Linked DNA regions of Oryctolagus cuniculus. The protein of the gene in region 1 purifies or fractionates together with the protein of each later gene. This does not show direct contact. Links are inferred from orthologs where the notes say so. Each region holds a gene or a part of one and is shown in the gene's direction. Other genes may lie near its edges.

What was found. Proteins that work in one complex are often made in the same cells at the same time.
Region 2: the proteins of SEC16A (region 1) and SEC13 purify together in Homo sapiens (co-immunoprecipitation; 4 studies listed by BioGRID and IntAct, counting the BioPlex papers as one, with this or other methods). This does not show direct contact. The link is inferred for Oryctolagus cuniculus from reciprocal best matches to the Homo sapiens genes SEC16A and SEC13.
Region 3: the proteins of SEC16A (region 1) and SEC23B purify together in Homo sapiens (affinity purification with mass spectrometry; 3 studies listed by BioGRID and IntAct, with this or other methods). This does not show direct contact. The link is inferred for Oryctolagus cuniculus from reciprocal best matches to the Homo sapiens genes SEC16A and SEC23B.

The regions. Positions count from the first base shown.
Region 1 is NC_091432.1:236,612,214-236,615,713, forward strand, and holds part of SEC16A (protein transport protein Sec16A), read left to right. Parts: intron 1-41; coding exon 42-189; intron 190-1,330; coding exon 1,331-1,473; intron 1,474-3,500. UniProt on the Homo sapiens protein: Acts as a molecular scaffold that plays a key role in the organization of the endoplasmic reticulum exit sites (ERES), also known as transitional endoplasmic reticulum (tER).
Region 2 is NC_091441.1:116,549,339-116,552,838, forward strand, and holds part of SEC13 (protein SEC13 homolog), read left to right. Parts: intron 1-384; coding exon 385-429; intron 430-1,567; coding exon 1,568-1,683; intron 1,684-1,946; exon of another isoform or gene 1,947-2,853; intron 2,854-2,936; exon of another isoform or gene 2,937-3,307; coding exon of another isoform or gene 3,308-3,339; coding exon 3,340-3,491; intron 3,492-3,500. UniProt on the Homo sapiens protein: Functions as a component of the nuclear pore complex (NPC) and the COPII coat. At the endoplasmic reticulum, SEC13 is involved in the biogenesis of COPII-coated vesicles.
Region 3 is NC_091442.1:43,327,358-43,330,857, forward strand, and holds part of SEC23B (protein transport protein Sec23B), read left to right. Parts: intron 1-475; coding exon 476-553; intron 554-3,014; coding exon 3,015-3,176; intron 3,177-3,500. UniProt on the Homo sapiens protein: Component of the coat protein complex II (COPII) which promotes the formation of transport vesicles from the endoplasmic reticulum (ER).

The DNA.
Region 1 (3,500 bases):
GTGCGGAGCTCACGTCACGACGTGACTGCTGTGTTCCCAAGAGTCAGCTATACAGAAGTCACGCTGTCCTCGGCGACGCCTACGAGGCCCCGCCCCCGCCCGGCTCCTTCCACGGGGATTACGGGTATGGCCCCTACGGCGGCGGCGGCAGCAGCTTCCCGGAGTACAGCTGGCCCGCCATGGAGCAAGGTGTGTGCTTGGTGGGGACGAGGGCCGGGTCGGCGTCTGGCCGGCGTCGTGCTGGCCGTGCGGGCAGCGCTCGGGGGGCAGGGCGGCCGGGCGATGGCCGGGCGATGGCCGCTGGGCTCCAGGTCTCGGAGCCCCCGGCCCGGCCGCGCCTGCAGGCTCTTGGGTGCTGCCCTGCCGTGGGTGCAGGGGGCGTCTCCACCCTGCAGAGCCGCGCTCTGTTTTTTTGTTTTGCGGGAGGTGTTGTGCCTGGGCCGGGTGGGCCCTGGAGCCAAGGCGGAGACGGCGGGGGCGGGGCGAGAGGGGCGGGGCGGGGCCAGGCTGCTGTACTGCAAAACTGCGCAGGGTCCTTTCTGGTGTGTTTGTGTAGAGACTTATTCTTTATTTTTGAAAATGTTTATTTGAAAGAGTTACACAGAGAAAGAAGGAGAGGCAGATACAGAGGGAGAGAGAGAGAGAGAGAGAGAGAGAGAGGTAGGTCGGTCTTCCATCCACTGGTTCACTCCCCAACTGGCTGCAATGGCCGGAGCTGCGCCCATCCAAAGCCAGGAGCCAGGAGCTTCTTCAGGTCTCCCACGCGGTGCTGGTTCGAGTCCCGGCTGCCCCACTTCCAATCCAGCTCTCTGCTGTGGCCTGGGAAAGCAATGGAAGATGGCCCAAGTCCTTGGGCCCCTGCATCTGCATGGGAGACCTGGAAGAAACTTTTGGCTCCTGGCTTCGGATCGGTGCAGCTCCGGCCATTGTGGCCATCTGAAGAATGAACCAGCGGATGGAAGACCTCTCTCTCTGTCTCTGTCTCTCTCTGTAACTCTTTCAAATGAATAAATCTTTAAAAAAATAAAAATAAAAAAAAAATATGTGGAGCAGCCGGGACTTGAACTGGTGCCCGTGTGGGATGCCAGCACTGGAAGCAGAGGCTTTACCCACTATGCGTGGTCGCTCGGCCCCGCCTCTGGGTTCCTCGTGGGTTGACAGCTTCCGTCTTTCTCTGACGTGGGCTGCAGTGCTGCTGGTCAGCAGGGTGTGTGACACCTGGAGACTCGGCCTTGAAGGCCGGCTTGTCCGCCGTGCCCTGGCACCCCAGGTGGCTGCTGTCGCTCTGGGCGGGAACAAGCGGCGCCTGTCTCTGTCGGTCCCGATGCAGCTCCATCGCGACCGGGCTCTCCCGAAAAGTTCCCGGTGCCTCACCTCTGCGCCAGGTTCGGTCCCGGCGGTCAGCTCATCAGAGTGATGCCAAACCTGCCCTCGGAGGGGCAGCCGGCACTCGTGGAGATCCACAGCATGGAGGTGAGGCCCGAGCAGGGCGGCCCGCGGCATGGCCGGCCCTGTGCCCTGTCCCCTGTGCCCCTGTCCCCTGTGCCCCTGTCCCCTGTGCCCCTGTCCCTGTGCCCCTGTCCCTGTGCCCCTGTCCCCCGTGCCCTGTCCCCTGTGCCCCGTGCCCTGTCCCCTGTGCCCCGTGCCCCTGTGCCCTGTGCCCTGTCCCCCGTGCCCCTGTCCCCGTACCCTGTCCCCGTGCCCTGTCCCCCGTGCCCCTGTGCCCCGTGCCCTGTGCCCCGTCCCCTGTGCCCTGTGCCCCGTGCCCCTGTCCCCCATGCCCCTGTCCCCTGTGCCCTGTACCCTGTCCCCCGTGCCCCTGTGACCTGTGCCCCTGTCCCCCATGCCCCTGTCCCCTGTGCCCTGTACCCTGTCCCCCGTGCCCCTGTGACCTGTGCCCCTGTCCCCCGTGCCCTGTGCCCCTGTCCCCTGTGCCCCGTCCCCCGTGCCCCTGTCCCCCGTGCCCCGTGCCCTGTGCCCCGTGCCCTGTCCCCCATGCCCCGTGCCCTGTCCCCCGTGCCCCTGTCCCCCGTGCCCCTGTGCCATGCCCCGTCCCCCGTGCCCCTGTCCCCTGTGCCCCGTGCCCTATGACCCGTGCCCCTGTCCCCCATGCCCCTGTCCCCCATGCCCCGTGCCCTGTCCCATGCCTGTCCCGTGCCCTGTCCCCTGTCCCCGTCCCGTGCCTCCTCGAGTCGTCCTCTCTGATGTGCAGTGTGGGGCTCTCCGGTTCTTCTTCCTTTTGGTTGTGGTTTTTTCCTCCCAGAAATCAAGGTTTTAAGCATGTGTTTTGGGTTCAGATTGGTTTTTTTTCTTTTTTCTTTTTCTTTCTTTCTTTTTTTTTTTTTTTTTTGACAGGCAGAGTGGACAGTGAGAGAGAGAGACAGAGAGAAAGGTCTTCCCTTGCCGTTGGTTCACCCTCCAATGGCCGCCGCGGCTGGCACGCTGTGGCCGGCGCATCGCGCTGATCCGAAGCCAGGAGCCAGGTGCTTCTCCTGGTCTCCCATGGGGTGCAGGGCCCAAGGACTTGGGCCATCCTCCACTGCACTCCCTGGCCACAGCAGAGAGCTGGCCTGGAAGAGGGGCAACCGGGACAGAATCCGGCGCCCCAACCGGGACTAGAACCCGGGGTGCCAGTGCCGCAGGCGGAGGATTAGCCTAGTGAGCCGCGGCGCCAGCCCAGATTTGGTTTTAATGTAGATTTATTCACCTGAAGGAGGACGAGTGAGCTTTCCACCACGAGTTCGTCCCCCGGTGCCTGCACACAGGCCGGCCGCTGCCAGGCGCTCCATCGGGAACTCGGGGCTGAGTGTGGGAGCACGGAGCCCGGGACACTGGCCGGCGTGGCCTGGCCGGCGTTTGCAGGGAGCTGCGTGGGAGCGCGAGCAGCTGAGGGGGCAGGCACTTGGCTGTGGGCGCTGAGCCCGCCCCGCGTGCCCGTGGGTGACTCTCTCCTCTTTACTGTGTTTTTGCTAAGGTGTTTCACTGTTGTGCTTTCTACTTTAATAGATTTATTTATGTGGAAGGCAAAGCGATAGAGGAGACACAGCTGTTGCATGTGCTGGTTCCTCCCCAAATGGTCACAACAGCCAGGGCTGGGCCAGGCCCGGGCCAGGGGCCAGCAGCTCCGGGCCTGATCTCCCACGTGGGTGACAGGTACCATCTGCTGCCGCCTTCCCAGGCACATAAGCAGGAAGCTGGAGCCGAAGTGGAGCAGCCGGGACGCACCCCGAGCCCCAGGCGGTGGCTTAACCCGCTGCACCACAGCTCGGCCCTCATCTTCTGTAGCTGTTTGAGAGGCAAAGAGACCGAGGTCTGGCTGCTGGCTCACTCCCTGCACGCCCACAATGGCCGGGGCTGGGCCAGGGCCGGGCCGGGAGCCAGGAGCCCCAGCCCGGTCTCCCGTGTGGGTGGCAGAAACCCAGGTAGTTGAGCGGTCAGCTGTTCCCTCCCAGGGTGGAATCGAGGGTGGAGCCAGGACCACCAGGCCCCCGCCAGTGGCC
Region 2 (3,500 bases), on another chromosome or scaffold:
GGGTCAGCGCTTTGTTCATCAGCAACTGCGGGGCGCCCCGTGCTCTGTCACCCAGGAGGGCAGCGGTGGCTGGGCGGCCCCCAGCCCCGAGCCCCGTCTGGCCCCATCCGTGCTCTGAGACCCCTCCCCAGCCTGCTCTCTCCCCGTGCCACCCGGCCAGTCCCTCCTCAGCGGCTGAGCCCCGCCGGCTCCTGCGCACCCGGAAGCCCCCGCGGGAAGAGCTGACTGCCGTGTCAGGGTGACTTTTGTGCACGTTTCTCAAGGGCAAGGCCGCTCGTGTTGGCTCAAAGAAGGTCGTTGGAGCGATTGTCCTGGGCGAGGGGCGCAGACGCGGCGAGGGGCGCGGTGACGGCTGGGTAATGGACTGCCTGTCTTTGGTCGTAGGTGTCCGTCATCAACACCGTGGACACCTCGCACGAGGACATGATTGTGAGTACTCGCCGGCGGCCGCGGGCCCGTTTCTGTGAGAGGAAGCGCTTGAGTTCTTCGTCGCCCTCCCCGATGGGTGGTTCAGCGGCGGTGGCTGGTCCGCCTCCCGGCAGTGCCCTGTGAGCTGGCAGGGCCCTGGTCGTGCGGGCTCCCCTTTTCTGGGGACCGATGGTAGCTTCAGGCCCTCGGTCCTCCGGCTGCCGCTGGTCTCCCCTCTGTCTTCCTCCTGCCACTGCAGCCTGGCCCCACTGGCAAAGGCGGAGCCCGAGAGGACTGCTGTGGGACAGCAGAGCAGACAGGAGTCCTCATGCAGGGCGTGGCCCGAGGCAGGGCGCAGGAGAAGGCCCGGGGCTAAAGTCCACAGCAGGAGGAATACTCTGGCCCCGCCGTGCGGCAGCCTGGGAGCGAGACCTGGTCCTGGGTCCCTGGGCCACGGACAGCGTCTCCTGCCTGCGTTGCTGCCCTCACGGCCTGTCACCTGCCGCCGCTTTGGGTTGCTCAGGTCGCCTGAACTCCCTCAGGAGTGGTTCAGCTGTCGGCCACATGGTACCAGGGGCGGGGGTCTGAGGCTCCCTAGGCAGCGGCTTAGCTAGCAGGCCTCCATTTCTTCGGGGGGAGACCGCCGCTGTGCCCCGCTTGCACGGTGTGGTCTGAGGAGCAGGTGAGCAGAGCGGCAGTGAGGAACTTGCTCGCTGTGCGCCAGGCCCGTGCTAAGCGCTCGTCATCCAGCGGCTCCTTGAGCCTTCCCAGTGGCCTCTGCAGCAGGTGCCACTCGCGGTGCCGCAGATGAACTCAGAACCGTGGGCAGGGCCAGGCCTGGATCTGGGTGGTTTGTGGGCATCCGAGGGTGGTGCCAGTGTCTGAGTAACTGGCCCGCTCCTTGGGAAAAGGACAAGCGTGAGGGAACCCAGGGACAAAGACCCGTGCGGGACCCAGGGCCCAGATGGAGGAAGGAGCCCAAAGGGTCTGTGAGCCCAGCTGGCTGCGGCCTCGCAGAGCAGTGAGGAGGCCGCCTTGCCGGCTTCCCGCCTGAGGTGCCGGTCCCAAGTGGGTAGACCGTGATCCACGCTAGCCCCGCCCCTGTGTGCGCACTGCCCCGCCCCCGCAGGCCCCCAGAATTCCCCGTCTCCCTTTGCAGCACGACGCACAGATGGACTACTACGGCACCCGCCTGGCCACCTGCTCCTCCGACAGGTCCGTCAAGATCTTCGATGTGCGCAACGGAGGGCAGATCCTCGTCGCTGACCTCAGAGGGTGAGTGCCCAGGGGGCGGGCGCCGCCAGGGCACAGGCAGGGGAGGAAGTGAAAGCCCGGGTTCCAGGCACCCCGAAGTGTGCTCAGCAGTGAGGACGCCCGGCTGCCCCCAGCACACAACAGGTGGGCCAGGCAGCGGCTCTGCGGGGCTCTTCTCAGGAAAACCCGGGGCTGGCGAGGTGTGACCTCTCAGCCCTGGTGTGCCCCCTCAGGTGGGCCCCGCCTTCAGGGGCCACTGCCCCGCCTTGACAGGTGGAAGCTGTACTGCTGTGTGCAGGCGTAGCCAGGGCGACCGACGTGTCACTCGGGAGCGGCACTGCAGGGGCCGTGCAGGCGGCAACGTTGGGATGGCCATGGCTCTGCCTGTCGGCCTGCGCAGGGGTCCAGGGCCGTTCACACGCACCACGTCACTCCTCTCGGAAGCCCTGGCCCATGTTTGTGGTTGCCCCCCCCCCCCCCCCCCAGGGTGCTGCCTTGCACAGCACTGCAGGTTTCGGGAGTTTGTTTTTTTTTTAAGGTTATTTATTTGAAAGTCAAAATTGCACAGGCAGAGAGACAGAGAGAGAGACCTTCCATCCGCTGGTTCACTCCCCAGCTGGCCCGCAAGGGCTGGAGATGGGCCAGGCAGAAGCCAGCAGCCAGGAGCTTCTCCTGGTCTCCCTGTGAGAGTGCAGGGGCCCAAGCACTTGGGCCGTCCTCCACTGCCCTCCCAGGTACCATACCAGGGAGCTGGGTCAGAAGCGGAGCAGCCTGGCCTTGAACCAGTGCCCACGTGGGACGCCAGCGTTGCAGGCAGCAGCTTAACCCGCTGCGCCACAGTGCCGGCTCCCACATGAGTTTCTTATGCTCTGAGAATGTTAGGCGCTAGACGGTGACAAACTTCACACCCCCGTCCTTGACTGCCTCGGTCAGCGCTGCGTGGGACGGGAGTGAGCCGTCGTCCCCGGAGGGGAGCGCTGCTGGCTCGTGGTCAGTGGTTTTCCTTCTGCTCGTCCTCTCGGCTCTGTCCCTGAGCGAGCACGGACACTGAACCCCCAGCCTAGCTGTGAGGGAGCCTTCCGGACGCCTGCGTTCCAGGTAGAGGTAAAGCCACAGAGCGCCTGTGACCCTGGCCTGAGTCAGAGCCAGCAGGGGGCGTGACAGCAGGTGAAGGCCGTCGCGAACACCCAGGTAGACAGTGCCGCCTCGGCAAGGTGACGGGGAAGGCGGGCGAATGGTGGCTCCGCCTTGCGGTGCCCGTCGCGAACACCCAGGTGGACAGTGCCGCCTCGGCAAGGTGACGGGGAAGGCGGGCGAATGGTGGCTCCGCCTTGCGGTGCCCCTGAGCCCCAGGCGCACCTGCTGGGGGATTGACGCCCGTGCCGCAGTCAGCGGAGCTGCCCTGGCTGCAGATCTGGTGCAGGTGAGATCCCTGCCTGGCCGGCCACGGACACTTCCAGAGTCCTCACTCCGCGCAGGGCCGCGTGGCCTCGGGGTCCTGCCGTCCACAGGGCATCCCGAGGGCAGTGACGCTCCACGGCTCTCGCGTGGAAGTGCTCAGGCAGCCGTCGGCTCTCCCTGCCCAGGAAGTCACTCATCTCCGCCCAAGGAGACGCCCGGCCGGGGCACCTGGGTCGTTGACCACATGGCAGCAGCCTCTGTCCCCTCCCCTTGCAGGCACGAGGGTCCTGTGTGGCAGGTGGCCTGGGCCCACCCCATGTATGGCAACATCCTGGCATCTTGCTCCTACGACCGGAAAGTCATCATCTGGAAGGAGGAGGGCGGCACCTGGGAGAAGACCCACGAGCACTCGGGCCACGACTCCTCAGGTGACCGAG
Region 3 (3,500 bases), on another chromosome or scaffold:
TGCCTCTTGATGCCTGAGAGACACTAGTCTAGACTCAGTAGGTGGCAGAGTTAAGACTGGAACATAGAGGTCGGCACTGTGGCACAGCGGGTTAAAGGCCTACAGCGCCAGCTTCCCATATGGGCACCGGTTTGAGTCCCAGCTGCTCTGCTGTCTGATTCAACTTTCTGCTAATGCACCTGTGAAAGCAGCAGAGGATGGCCCAAGTCCTTGGGCCCCTGCACCCACCTGAGAGACCCAGAAGAAGCTCCTGGCTCTTGCTCCAGATCAGCTCAGCTCCAGCTGTTGAGGCCATTTGGGGAGTGAACCAGTTTATGGAAGACATCTCTCTATCTGTCTGTCTCTCTCTCTCTGTAACTCTTTCAAATAAATAAATCTTTAAAAAAAAAAAAAAAGAAGACGACTGCATTTTAACACCTGACACTATCTTAGTTTTTTGTTTGTTTGTTTTTAATAATATGTTTCCTTTCCACAGTGTCAGAAGTTTGGACAGTATAACAAAGAAGATCCCTCTTCTTTCAGGTTATCAGATTCCTTCTCTCTATATCCTCAGGTAAGTAATACACATTTTTAAGAATTCCTGCAGAGTAACCATTGCAGTAAAGTGAAGAGTGTGTTCCATTTCCAACCTCTATGAGGAGCTGTAGGAGTTTTATTAACTGAAGACCAGGTTGTGTGTGTGAGGCACGACCCCAGGCCCTACAGAAGACAGCAAGAACAGTCAGGAGAAAACAAGTGCATCTAGTGTCCTGAGAAGGCGAAGCAGGGTCTTTGGCAGTAGGCCACAACCAGATCTCTAATTTGCAGAAGTTAGTTCCCTCAGCAGCAAACCAGCAAAGTGAGGGCAAGATGATTTAACAGAACGAAAACACAGTTAGTATGACAGGTTATTAACATAACATGACAAGCGTTTCGCAGTGAGTCTGTGGTTATCCAGCTGCGTCCTATTTAGGCATCGGTAGTTAGCAGCTCTGAAAGTAACTACAAAAGGCTGAAACGAAGCACATGGCTGCCCCTGGGCAAGGGAAGAGAGGAGAGAAGTGGATGGAGCAGGAAGCTGCTCTCATGGACCTAGGTTTCCACGTTTCCCAGACTTCCGCCTTTGTCTGTGAGTGAGCTAGAGCTGAGCTCTGTGGCTGGCTTTGAGGGCTCCATCAAGTACTGAAACCTGGTGCGGTGCCAGCCACCTGTTCAGTGCTTCGTGTGAGCCAGATGACAGCAGGAGCCTGGGACTTGCCGGGGTCTGTGCCCGGCAGGTGGAGGCCAGGTGGAGTTTGTGAAGATCAGAGCAGAGTTTCAGCTCTCGCCCCACCACTGCTATCACAGGTGAGGTCCCAACCCCTGTGGATTTCAGTTTAGAAGGGAGGAGTTGGTCTGGAGAAGTGATTTGCAGTCCTTTCTCCAAGGGGCCCTCCTCAAAAGCTAGCACGTAAAGTAGAGGGACTGGATGCCACTCTGTGCCCATGCACCCCACCCACCCAGTGGCTCCCCCAAGCAGTGCCCTTAGCATTCGCTTCACTGAGATTCTTGAAGAGCAGTTGGAAAACCAGCAGATGAGGTTTTCCTAAGGAGTCTCTGTCAAGGCATTCTAGGATAGACGTCAGGAGCCCAGTCTCTAGAGCCAGTGGCCTGGAGGAGAGTCCCTCGCTGCCACTGCATAGTGCAGTGACCTGGGGCAAATTGGTCACACCTGTCTGCCTCAGTTTCCTCAGCTGTAAATAAGGAGAACTCGTGGGTTTATTGGAAGGATTCAATGATTCTTGGCAAGCACGTCGTGCCTTGCACGTAGAATCTACTGAATGTCAGGCACATTAGTCTTTAGTAGCCTGTGGTTTAATTCTGAGCCTCAAGAAGCTTTGTACTTCTCAAGGCAGCTCACTGTCACATGCTGGCAGCTCTACACACTGAGCGAAAAGTCTGCCCCCCAGCCCCCTGTAATTCTTGGGGTGAGGACCATGACCTCCCCAGCATTGTCTCTCCCCTGTGCCTGTCACTGCAGCCCCAAGGACTAGCTTGCGCCCTGAGCTCTCATCTGCCCTTCCTAGGCCTGCAGTCCCCTCTCTCTGACCTCCAGCCATCCCATTCATGTCTTTCAGGATCTATCTTCAACTCCACAGCTCTGGGTAGTGGGCTGGCCCGTCACCACCCCCACCTGCTGTAGTACTTTCAGTGCTGTGGCTGGTGATGTGAGGATGCCCCAGGGGGCTTTTTCCCCATGGGACCTGACTTCTCAGAGAGCAGATATTCTGTCTGCACAGACCAGATGCTCTGGAAATTAAGTGTTTCTTGACCTTTTCCCTTTCACGTGGAAGCTCTGCCATATCCCGAGGACCTTTAAACATTGTTTAAATCATAGTCAAAAACATGTAACTTTAAAATGCACCCAGAAACGTTAACCATTTGGGTAGTGTTAAGTTTATTCACGTTGTTACCCAGCAGATCCCAGGGGGTCACATCTTGGGAAACCGAAATTCTCTTTTTCTTTTTCTTTTTTTTTAAAGGTTTATTTATTTATTTGAAAGTCAGAGTTACACAGAGAAGGAGAGGCAGAGAGAGACAGATTTTCAGTCTGCTGGTTCACTCCCCCAGTTGGCCACAATAGCCGGAGCTGTGCTGATCTGAAGCCAGGAGCTTCTTCTGGGTCTCCCACATGGCCCAAGGATTTAAGCCATCTTCTGCTGCTTTCCCAGGCCACAGCAGAGAGTGGGATCAGAAGTGGAGCAGCCGGGACATGAACCGGCACCCATGTGGGATGCCGGCACTGCAGGTGACAGTTTTATGCTGTGCCACAGCGCTGGCCCCAAGAAAACCAAAATTCTCAACCCATTCAACAGAACTCTTCATTGCCCTCTCCCCCGACCCCAGGCACCGCTTTCTGCTTCCTGTTTATGTGAACGTAGAGACCTTTCTCCTGAAGTTGGGGCTCTGCTGTGTCGGTGCTGAGGTGGGCCGCCTCTGCCGAACCGCGGCAGGGTTGCAGCTTTGTGCCTTTGCCTCTCGCTTTGTGTTTGCAGTTCATGTTCCACCTCAGAAGATCGCCGTTCCTCCAGGTGTTTAACAACAGCCCCGATGAGTCGTCGTATTACAGGCACCACTTTGCGCGGCAGGATCTGACGCAGTCTCTCATCATGATCCAGCCCATCCTCTACTCCTACTCATTCCAGGGGCCCCCCGAGGTAGGTGCTATATGGGGGCTCTTTGGAGAACTGCAGTCACCTCATATGTCTGTTTTTTTTTAATTCTCCCCTAGCAAATTTACTTTTAGAACAGAATTTAAAAAAAAATATTGAAAACTTTAAGTTTCTGTAGCAACTTAACCTTATTTTTGAGTATTAAAAATATCCACAGGAAAAAGACTGGACGTATAAAGCTGTTTACAAACTATTAAAATAGAGAGTTAGATAATAATCTGAGTGTTTCATAGTAGAAAAAATAAGTAACCTATGAAATATTCACAAAAATTATGTAACAACATGTTACTGAGAAAAATCGAAACAGCA